Linked DNA regions of Saccharomyces cerevisiae S288C. The protein of the gene in region 2 purifies or fractionates together with the protein of the main gene of each other region. This does not show direct contact. Each region holds a gene or a part of one and is shown on either strand. Other genes may lie near its edges.

Region 1 (3,260 bases), on a different chromosome or scaffold from region 2:
CAGTTAGTTCTAGACTTAAAATGTTTGAAGGATAAAATAGCAACGAATTACGATATTCATAACAATGTTTACGGTGGAAACGGAATGGAACCAAACATTATTCATCCGTCCAAAAGATTCAGGATTGTTGTTCGATTAGTAGATTTCTTGTTCTGTAAATCGGATGAAGAATTCATTAAAGGTTTTTTCTGTCAAATGATAGTTAGAAATCTTCATTGCCTCAATTCAACAAATGGCGCAGAGGAGATGCGTTTGTATATGAGCGAAAGATTATTTTCAGCCCATAAAGATGATTTGAGATTGATAAATGGGCAGGTACTGGATGTTCGCATTGGGGTATGGTATGGAATACACCAAAGTCCGCCAATTTTTGAAATCATTGATTTTAAGATACTATCCAGGAATGACGTTCGTGATTTCTGTGAATTTGTCAAATCACCACTTGGTGAGAAGTTTCTGAACATCTCTAACTCCTAAGTCAGACGTTTGGCATATACTGAGATTATATAATACCTTTGATAAGAATGTAAGAGGACCCTTGAAAATAGTTATTGTAATGTTATGTAATGTAAATAATAGTATACAGGTGATTCTTATTTATCCCATGAAATAAGTATGAGAAAAGAAAGGAAAGAGGCAATTAGCCCGGTTCTGTTCTAACTAAAAAGCAATTTTCTTTGTATTTCTTCTTCTGTTCTTTAGCAGAATCTTTTGCTTTTCCAATTGTTCTTCCTCTTCCTCGTCACTGTCGATTTCCATATCCTCCTCTTCTTCTTCAGATTCCTCTTGTTCGGATACTGATTCAGCTCTTTCTTGTTCTTTAGCCAACTTTCTGGCAATTTCAACTTCTCTGATTCTCAATAATTCTGGGTTAGATTCGACCAATTTCTTATCTCTTAAGAAGTCCTTTTCTTTGTTACCTCTCATTCTATTCTTGTAGAAGGCTCTTTCACGTTTTTGTCTAATTTCTTCGATTCTAGCCATAGCCTTCAAAGTTGTGGCAACTAACTCTCTATTGTATCTAACAGGGACATTTCTTCTTTGGGCAAAAGTCAAGGTAGAATCCACAGCCAATTCTTTTCCGGCAGCCTTTCTGAAAGCTTTGGTCCATTTTAGTTTTCTTGGGTTACGACGTTGCTTGAATGCCTTGTGACACTTAGAACGGCAGAACCTAAACTCTTTAGCATCGTTACGCACAAACATGATCCCATGACCTGGATAACATGGGGATGAGCAAAAATGGCATTGATAAATTCTCATTTTTTTATACTTACTAAACTTCTACTTCCTTTTCCTTTTAGTTTCTGAATGTAAATCACGGGGAGGTGGTGGTAACAATATGGACAACTCACGCTTGAATAGCAATATCTTTCAAATCACAAGTCGAAGAACTTAAAAGTGGTATATCACGGATCAAGATAGAAACTGATGTAAGTTGGAGATAGGGTGGGATGAGATGAGATGAGTTTAGAAATACATTATTTAATAAAAGACGAGTGAAAATTTTTCACTCCGCTGAGTTCGAGGCGAGCGGGCAAAAAATTTAAAGAGCGAGAATCGGACCAAATGTGAAAGCCATTTGAATCAACGTAGGACTCACTCGACGGAGACCCTTGAACTAGACAAAGTACGAATAGTAGTGGAATTTGTACGTCTCCACTGGCCGAGCACAGTTTAATAAGGTTGCATAAACACTTCCACCCGCACAATATCATGAGTTCTCAAAGTAATACTGGTAATTCTATTGAGGCACCACAACTACCCATTCCTGGTCAAACTAATGGCTCTGCGAACGTTACTGTTGATGGAGCTGGTGTTAATGTCGGTATCCAGAATGGTTCGCAGGGTCAAAAGACCGGAATGGACCTTTATTTTGATCAAGCTTTGAACTACATGGGAGAACATCCTGTGATAACAGGTTTTGGGGCCTTTTTAACTTTATATTTTACAGCCGGTGCATATAAATCAATATCGAAGGGACTTAACGGTGGAAAATCCACTACTGCCTTCTTGAAAGGCGGATTTGACCCGAAAATGAATTCTAAAGAGGCTCTACAGATTTTGAATTTGACAGAAAATACATTGACTAAAAAAAAGTTGAAAGAGGTTCATAGGAAAATTATGTTAGCTAATCATCCTGACAAAGGTGGTTCTCCATTTTTGGCCACTAAGATAAACGAAGCTAAGGACTTTTTGGAAAAAAGGGGTATTAGCAAATAAGGTAAAACGGGAACCTAAAATGAGTTATTGCAATTGCATATATGCCTAATACAAGTGGTATAAACCTCGAACCGTGTTCAATCACATGCCGTTTAGGAGATTAAAATACTTCGGGCAATCAAATGTTTGTATAGATAAGTCTTGTAAATAACACGGAAAGCTATGTATTTTAGTTTAAATAACGTATACGCCCTCTGTGATTAGCGATGAACCGCAACGATCACAATTCTTGCTTACATGGGTAATATAATGCTTGAAACAATCAACATGCCAAATTTGAGACAGACTATTCTCTCCAGTTTCCTCATTCTCTTCTCGGCATGATTCGTTGCCGCACCTGACACCTTGAATTGCCAGCTTGTGGCAATTTTGGCAAGTGTTCAAATTGTACATGGATGTTAGATACTCTTCTAGTTCTGCTATACAGCGAAGATCAATACCGAATTTCCCTTCCTGAGTCCTGTAAAACCATTTCAGTTCGCATAATCGGAGTAGTAAGTCTTCGATGTCCGTTGCTGTTAATTCTTGAAATTGGAAAAGATTGGTGGACCCTACAGTAAACGTACTGAACTTACGCCATTTCGCGAGGTTTGAGTCTCCTGTAGCTGCTACTAGAATACGGTTGACTTCCTTCACAATTATCGAGGTTTCCAGTGCAGGCCCTTCAACGATAGTCTCTCCACTGATCATGAATTGTTCTATGGCCCATTTCATAAACTCGATCTCGTTTTGGTTAAACCTTGTGGCTAACTTAGTCTCTTCTGTTGATGCTAAGTTAACATATACGAAAAACCTGTTACTCTCCGGAAGTACTATCGATTGCAAAACTGCATAATCATTATTGTGAGCCCTTATTGCTGTATTATCTTCGAAGGACTCAAAATTCTGCTTGGCCTTTAAAGTCACTGCGTTTCTACCAATCCCGTGGTTGATCCGAATGATCTTGTAACCCAAAAGGTTCAGTTTTACGTTTATAGCGTTTATATAATCATTTAGCTTGTCGACCCACTGCTGGATCGACCATTCAGTGTTAAGCGTTG
Region 2 (3,446 bases):
CAGGAAAACGTGAAGTGCTTTTTTTGATGATTACGCAAAGTTCTTTTCAAGTTCGCCATAAGAGGAGGTTTTCCTTTTCAAAAGGAGCATGATACCAATAATTTATATTGCCTTACGCCTCTTATTTTTTATATCCTCTTTTTAGATTTTATTAATTTTTTTTTTTATTTATATACATATAATGTGCCCTGCTTTTTACAACCATACGTTTTTTGTTTTTTAATTTTCTTGCATTTTAAAACTGAATAGTGACCTGGGTATTATACTACAGTTGAAATTGCTCTCGTGAGGTACATACTTGAAACGAGCGTACTAGGCAATCCCTCTCTTGCCAGTCACCTACACACGGAGAGTATCGGTTATTTGTCGTGAGGAAAAAAGAACCGGATAATAAATTCTTGATTTGTTATATTGTACAGAGAATGACGAGAAGTAAAAAGAGAAACCCGAACAGGACAGAGCGTACATTTTTTATATACCTGTTCTTTTGTGCTTGTAGACGTATATCGTATTATTAAATTAAAAGTAAACCTAATTTGAACCATCGAGATAAAAAAAAAAAAAACGGAGCACTTTTTTGCTCATACAAGCAAAACCGCATTGACACAGCCGTCTCTGTCTGGTTCGTTTGTGACCTGAGCATACTTACCCCAGACAACTTTACCACCAGCAGTAACCATCCCCAATTCCGAAACGTTAACTTCAATAATGGTACCTTTAGTCAAAACACCTAACTGAGTGTACATTGGAGATTGTGGATTCTTCTTAACTGCCAAAATTGGCAAGAAGACAGTTACACCTAATTCCGGATGAGTGACGTTTGCCTTTTTCTGTCTCAACGCACTTGGTCTGATGATTCTTTCCATTTTAACTGGTCTTCTAGTGAAACCTTCACCCACAAAAGTGTGTTTCGTTATCATTCTCTTCCATGACTTGGATCTAGATTTACCTGTTTTAATAACTTTGAACATTTCTTCTTCACTTATACCACGAACCTTTGGTAACGGAACTGAAAACTTATCAGCTTTTTCCAACCTCTTTTGTTTGATCGATGAAGAAATAGCTTTGGCTGTGTTATTTTGTTCTCTGTCCAATAGATATGTCGGCAAAGCATCACCATCGGTATCCAATGGTTTGGATGAACCCTTGACCTTAGATTGTTCATGTGCCTTAATCTTCTTTCTCATTGATACCTTTTCAGCATATCTCTTCTTAGCAAATTGCTTACCCTTCCAACCAGTCAACTTCTGGGCCCGTTCAGAAATCTTATGAGACTCTCTTGCCTCTCTCTTACGTTTCCTTTCTTCGTGATCTAATCTTTTACCATGCTGTTTGATGTGACGCTCGATATAATCGTTTTGAGGCATTGTTTCGTTGTATATATCAGTATTGATACGAGACTGACTACTGACTAAAGATAAAAACGCCAGATACGAAAACCAAGTTCTTCTCTAACTGATACCTAATCCATTCAATTGTCTTAAAAGTGCATCTCATCGCTGTCCGGAAAATTTTTCATCGGATTGTTACTAGAACCGTTGCCGACGACATAAAATTTTTTACGCCTTTCCTGCAAGGTTGAAGAAAAGAAACCGATGAGCTATACCATTCTAAAGTGTCAAAAGAGATGAAGAAATTAAAATTGTCAACTAACACACAAATCCAAGAATGTCTGAACTTAATGCATTATTAAAAGATATCAACGGCTCGCTCACTGCGACATCAGAATCCTTGGAGAGGTTGTCTGGGATTTATAGTAATTCTGCGACCGATGAGATTCCTGAAAGTAACCAACTACATGAGCATCTATTTTACGACGCTAAGAAGCCTGCTGAGAAAGTATCGCTGCTATCCTTAAAAAATGGGAGCATGCTAGGGTACATAAATTCTCTATTGATGCTTATAGGCAATAGGCTAGACGACGAGTGCAAAGATCCTTCTGCTATGGATGCACGTGAACGCTCTATTCAACACCGTGTGGTATTAGAGCGTGGTGTTAAACCACTAGAAAAAAAGTTGGCTTACCAATTGGACAAGCTGACTAGAGCATATGTGAAAATGGAAAAGGAATATAAAGACGCTGAGAAGCGTGCACTGGAAAAATCTACCTTAGTGAATCATAGCGGCAACGACGATAGCGAAGATGATGAGTCTAGTGAGGATGAAATAGCATACAGGCCAAATACCTCTGGAATTATCAACACAAATAAAAAATCATCAGCATACAGGGTGGAGGAAACGGCTAAGCAAGAAAACGGGGAAGAAAACGATGACAATGAGACTGGCGTGTATAAACCACCAAAGATTACGGCTGTTCTACCACCGCAACAAACGCATTTTGAAGATAGATTCGATGCCAGAGAACACAAAGATCGTAGTAACAAATCGCGTATGCAAGCCATGGAAGAATATATTAGAGAGTCATCGGACCAACCGGACTGGAGTGCATCTATTGGTGCTGACATTGTGAACCATGGAAGAGGCGGTATCAAATCTTTGAGAGACACAGAGAAGGAACGTAGAGTCACTTCATTCGAAGAAGATAATTTTACCAGATTGAATATTACAAATAAAGCTGAAAAAAGGAAGCAAAAGCAACGAGAAAGAAATGCAAGGATGAACGTTATCGGTGGTGAAGATTTTGGTATATTCAGCTCAAAGAGGAAGCTGGAAGATAGCACTTCGAGACGTGGGGCCAAGAAGACTCGTTCTGCCTGGGATAGAGCTCAAAGGAGACTGTAGATACAAAAAGTTTATTTTCTTATATCCTAAAGCGTTTATAGACTTAATATTTAAAAGTTAAATATAAATGAAGGGCACTGGTATATAAGCTATTAAAAACAAGAATTTTGGCTTTCACGACATTAACGTGTGAGAGGTTTAGGCACCATTGCCTTTATGATTATTAGTCCCTCCAGAATAAACTCTACCTTTTTTTTTCTTTTTTTTTTTTATAGTCCTAAGCAGAACATGACTAAATCGCCATAAATTAACAATATAGTGGGAATAAGGCACACCAGAAGTGCCACGATATAGTATATATACAATGATAAATGAGTACGTTGCCAGAAAGGTCGCTCTAAAGGACATGCAACCATGTGCGATCTGTAGCAAACCATCCACTACCGTCCTTTACAACGCATCTGGTCCAGATTGGCTATATACATGCGAAATACATTTACAAGATAATCCACAATTTGTCATTCCCCTCTATAGTACAGAGTATAATGAAGCCGTGGCTCAATTAAAACTAGTAAAGGGGAAAATGGATAGTCTGACATCAGCTCAAACCCAATTAGGGTCCTGGGATGGTTGGGTTACTAAAATATTCTCCAAGAAAGAAAAGGAGACAAATAACTCTAAAGACCCTGATCCAACTACAACCGACTCTACTGATACATCTCCACAGGCTAAGAACGATGCAGAAATCTTGTCAGAAACAAAGA
Region 3 (3,140 bases), on a different chromosome or scaffold from region 2:
CGTAGTTCGCTTGATAGCACATAAATGGACGGCTGACTTGTTGTACACCATATATATATATATATATATATAATTTTACGGCTCACTTCTGTACCGCTTGTGAAAATCTTACCGCACAACCCCCGGTGTTCTATTAGCTTTGTTCGATTTTATTAATCTTTGCCAAGAGATACTACTCTCCGGGTTCTGGTGGAGACAATAGTATGTCCTAGCAGCTAGACAAAAAAGCCTTCAAATGGTCTACGTGCGGTGCAATTTTTCTTGGAGAAGTTCTATATTGTCTAACAGATACTTGGAACTGAGCAAGTTGTCAGAATAGTCGGAGAAGCGGACGGAAAATCCATATTATGCAAAGAATTTGCTTAGAAACCCGTTACATATGCTTCGAACAAAGTGACTACATGTTACAATTAAGACGCCTACTTAAACTGCAATGAATAGTCACCCATAGGTATAAGAAAAAAAAAAAAAATAAAAGAGTACATAATATACATACAACTAAAATTAAAATGCATAGAAACCTAAGAAAAAATATTTGTTATACCAAAAAAAATACCACAAATGATACGTAAGAAGATTATTGCAACATGGGGACTCTTTCGCATACAACTGTAAACAGACTTGAGGAAGGAGGGGAATCCCCTCAGGAGTACCTGACATCTATGAGTAGGTTTCAATCAAAGTATCACGTAGGTTACCTGAAATGGATTCTGGTTGGGCATCTTGCAAGCGGAAAATACTTTCAATAACACTCAATTCTGGGGCTGTAGTATCCAGACCTGTAACTGCCAAGTAATCGTTCACAACCATACCGGCACCGACAACTGAACTACCACGGTTAACGGTACCAGCCACCAAAGGAACTTGTAATAAGGAGGACAATTCTTCTTGATCTTGGACACTTGTTTGTGGATGCACTAACCCACCTTGATTACTTAAAGAACAATATGACCCAACTAAGATATTACCTGATATGGTTTGACGGAAGACCTCAACGCCTAGTACATCACTTATCAATTCTTCAGTTTCTCTGTCGATATCTGGATGCACTAAAGCAACGTAATCATTACAACAGATGACGTTACCCAAGGCAGATAGTCTTTCCTCTACCCTTTGAATCTTAACGGAATCCGGCAAACTATTTCTTAAATGTTGTAATTCTTGATCAGTAGTTTGGGTTGGAACTAGCAGACCTCTACGGTTACCCGCGGTCATTCTACCGATGATACGCGTACCAGCAATAGTGGTATGAACGATGGGAATAGCATCTCCTAATTCAGCTTCAAATGCAGAGTAAAAGTTTTCAGAACCACCAACAGCAACCAAACAGTAAGTATTCGTTAATTTGGAGAATACACCGATTTCATTGGAGTTTTCAAATTGAGTCCTGGTAGCCATTATTGTTTTCTAGAGTTAGTTGAATTATGCTCTTGTTCCAAATACTCTGTCGTATTGCTTCTTGTAATTATACTATAAGACCAACGAGGGATGAGGCTTCTTTTAATTATGCAATATTGAATATTGCGTTACATACAGTAAAAGAAAAAATCTGCACAAAGGAATATGGGTTTAAATCTTTAATTAATAAAAATTTTCCGAAAATTTTCGTTTGGCCCTCGGAAAAAACGGGTAATGCTCATCCATTAGGATTTCGTCCAGAATGCCTATATTATTACATAAAGTGATGCTAGTAATGTAAACCAGAACTACTTCTATAGCTTGTTATAGGTGGCCCATGCCAGTGAAATAGGTGGTTGGTTACTCTTTTTTTTTTCTGGTGGCGGCAACCTATTTTTGTTCTAGTGCCTACCAAACTAATTCCTTCCCATAATTTGAAGGCTTCGCAAGCTTAGTAGATGCAAAACTCTTTCTTCATTCTTTGTCTGATCTTGCACCTTACATATTATTCCAATAGGACCTTTATCACAATCAGCGCATATCAAATATTTCAAGCACTTTTTAATCTTCCAGCTGGAATTACCATACTCAAAGACAAAATCACTCTTATCACTCAAATCCCCTAATATAGAAGAAGGAATTTCTCTAGATACACCAACATTATCAAAGTCCCAAACATCAGGGACGACCAAGAAGTTGCTCTCGCTGGGGGTAGCATCTCGCATAGTTCTGTTTTCCAGCAACTTGAATTCGCTGTGCACCTGCTCTGGTAAGTTTATTATGTTATCATCGTTGATGGTAATAACTGCACTATGACAGCCCTCAAAGGAACACGTAGCCTTGCTCATGTTCTCTGTTATTCCCCCATTTTTCCAGCCCTTTTAATTGAACTTTCTACTCATACCAGTCAAGTTTTTGATATGTACTTCATTAATTAAAATGATCGATATATAATCGTTCAGTACGACAATGACGATATTCACAGTACTACTAAACTAGCGGGTCCCCGGCGCCCAGTCAGCCTTTACGAAGAGAAAGGAAGAATGATATGGATATGCTGAAAAGTATTTTGATACAGAAGAAGGGAGTTTTGAGTTGTCGGGCTCATCGTGCTGGATCAAGTGGTTCCCTACCTGGCGCGATCTATAGTGTCAGACGGCTTGCATATATGCTCACGCGTTCGGACGCGTGAAAGGCTTCAACTGAAAAAAAGAAAGATCTACATCGTTAAACCAAAAGGTTTGCGAACTGACTAAAAAATAAAATTCTTATTGGTTCCACTTCTTGAAATACATCATTTTTCCAGCCAATTCGTTGAGGAGAAGAACATTCTGTTATTGCTGTTACAGAGAATTATATGTTTTAGTGAACCTCAAGACAGAAGAGAATCGAAAGGAAAAGGGAAAATGGAGCAACATCTCAAATCAATTCCTCTACAGGACGACACTAAGAAAAAAGGCATACTATCTTTTTTCCAGAATACAACTACGGTAAAGAGTAATAAGTTTCTCACGAAAGAGAAGGATGTCATCACTCTAGATGATCCTAAAGAGGATGTCAGTGGACCTATGATAGAAACTGTTAAACAAGAAACCATGAAAAGCATCAATAAAGAGTGTGCAGATGAAATGAAAACGACACCTAAGAAGGCCAATGCTGAAGACAAGCTTTTATGCTACAAAAATTCACCCATACAAAGTACAAAATACGATAGAAACACCAACAAACAAGTACCCAATGGA

Evidence for each region.
Region 1: the proteins of NSA2 (region 2) and RLP24 purify together in Saccharomyces cerevisiae (affinity purification with mass spectrometry; 5 studies listed by BioGRID, with this or other methods). This does not show direct contact.
Region 3: the proteins of NSA2 (region 2) and TIF6 purify together in Saccharomyces cerevisiae (affinity purification with mass spectrometry; 6 studies listed by BioGRID, with this or other methods). This does not show direct contact.

Annotation. Positions count from the first base shown.
Region 1 is NC_001144.5:164,537-167,796, reverse strand, and holds RLP24 (ATPase-activating ribosome biosynthesis protein), read right to left. Parts: upstream 1,261-3,260; coding exon 661-1,260; downstream 1-660. Other genes in the region: TEN1 (Ten1p), read left to right, coding at 1-477; PAM18 (Pam18p), read left to right, coding at 1,714-2,220; Smc5-Smc6 complex subunit NSE1, read right to left, coding at 2,395-3,260. UniProt on the Saccharomyces cerevisiae protein: Involved in the biogenesis of the 60S ribosomal subunit. Ensures the docking of NOG1 to pre-60S ribosomal particles. Activates and recruits ATPase AFG2 to cytoplasmic pre-60S ribosomal particles.
Region 2 is NC_001137.3:412,813-416,258, forward strand, and holds NSA2 (rRNA-processing protein NSA2), read right to left. Parts: upstream 1,368-3,446; coding exon 582-1,367; downstream 1-581. Other genes in the region: small subunit rRNA maturation protein LCP5, read left to right, coding at 1,669-2,742; VFA1 (Vfa1p), read left to right, coding at 3,047-3,446. UniProt on the Saccharomyces cerevisiae protein: Involved in the biogenesis of the 60S ribosomal subunit. May play a part in the quality control of pre-60S particles. Under normal, rapid growth conditions, high levels of NSA2 would allow the progression of pre-60S particles through the ITS2 processing.
Region 3 is NC_001148.4:591,672-594,811, forward strand, and holds TIF6 (translation initiation factor 6), read right to left. Parts: upstream 1,399-3,140; coding exon 661-1,398; downstream 1-660. Other genes in the region: guanine nucleotide exchange factor DSS4, read right to left, coding at 1,815-2,246; RLF2 (Rlf2p), read left to right, coding at 2,805-3,140. UniProt on the Saccharomyces cerevisiae protein: Binds to the 60S ribosomal subunit and prevents its association with the 40S ribosomal subunit to form the 80S initiation complex in the cytoplasm. Is also involved in ribosome biogenesis.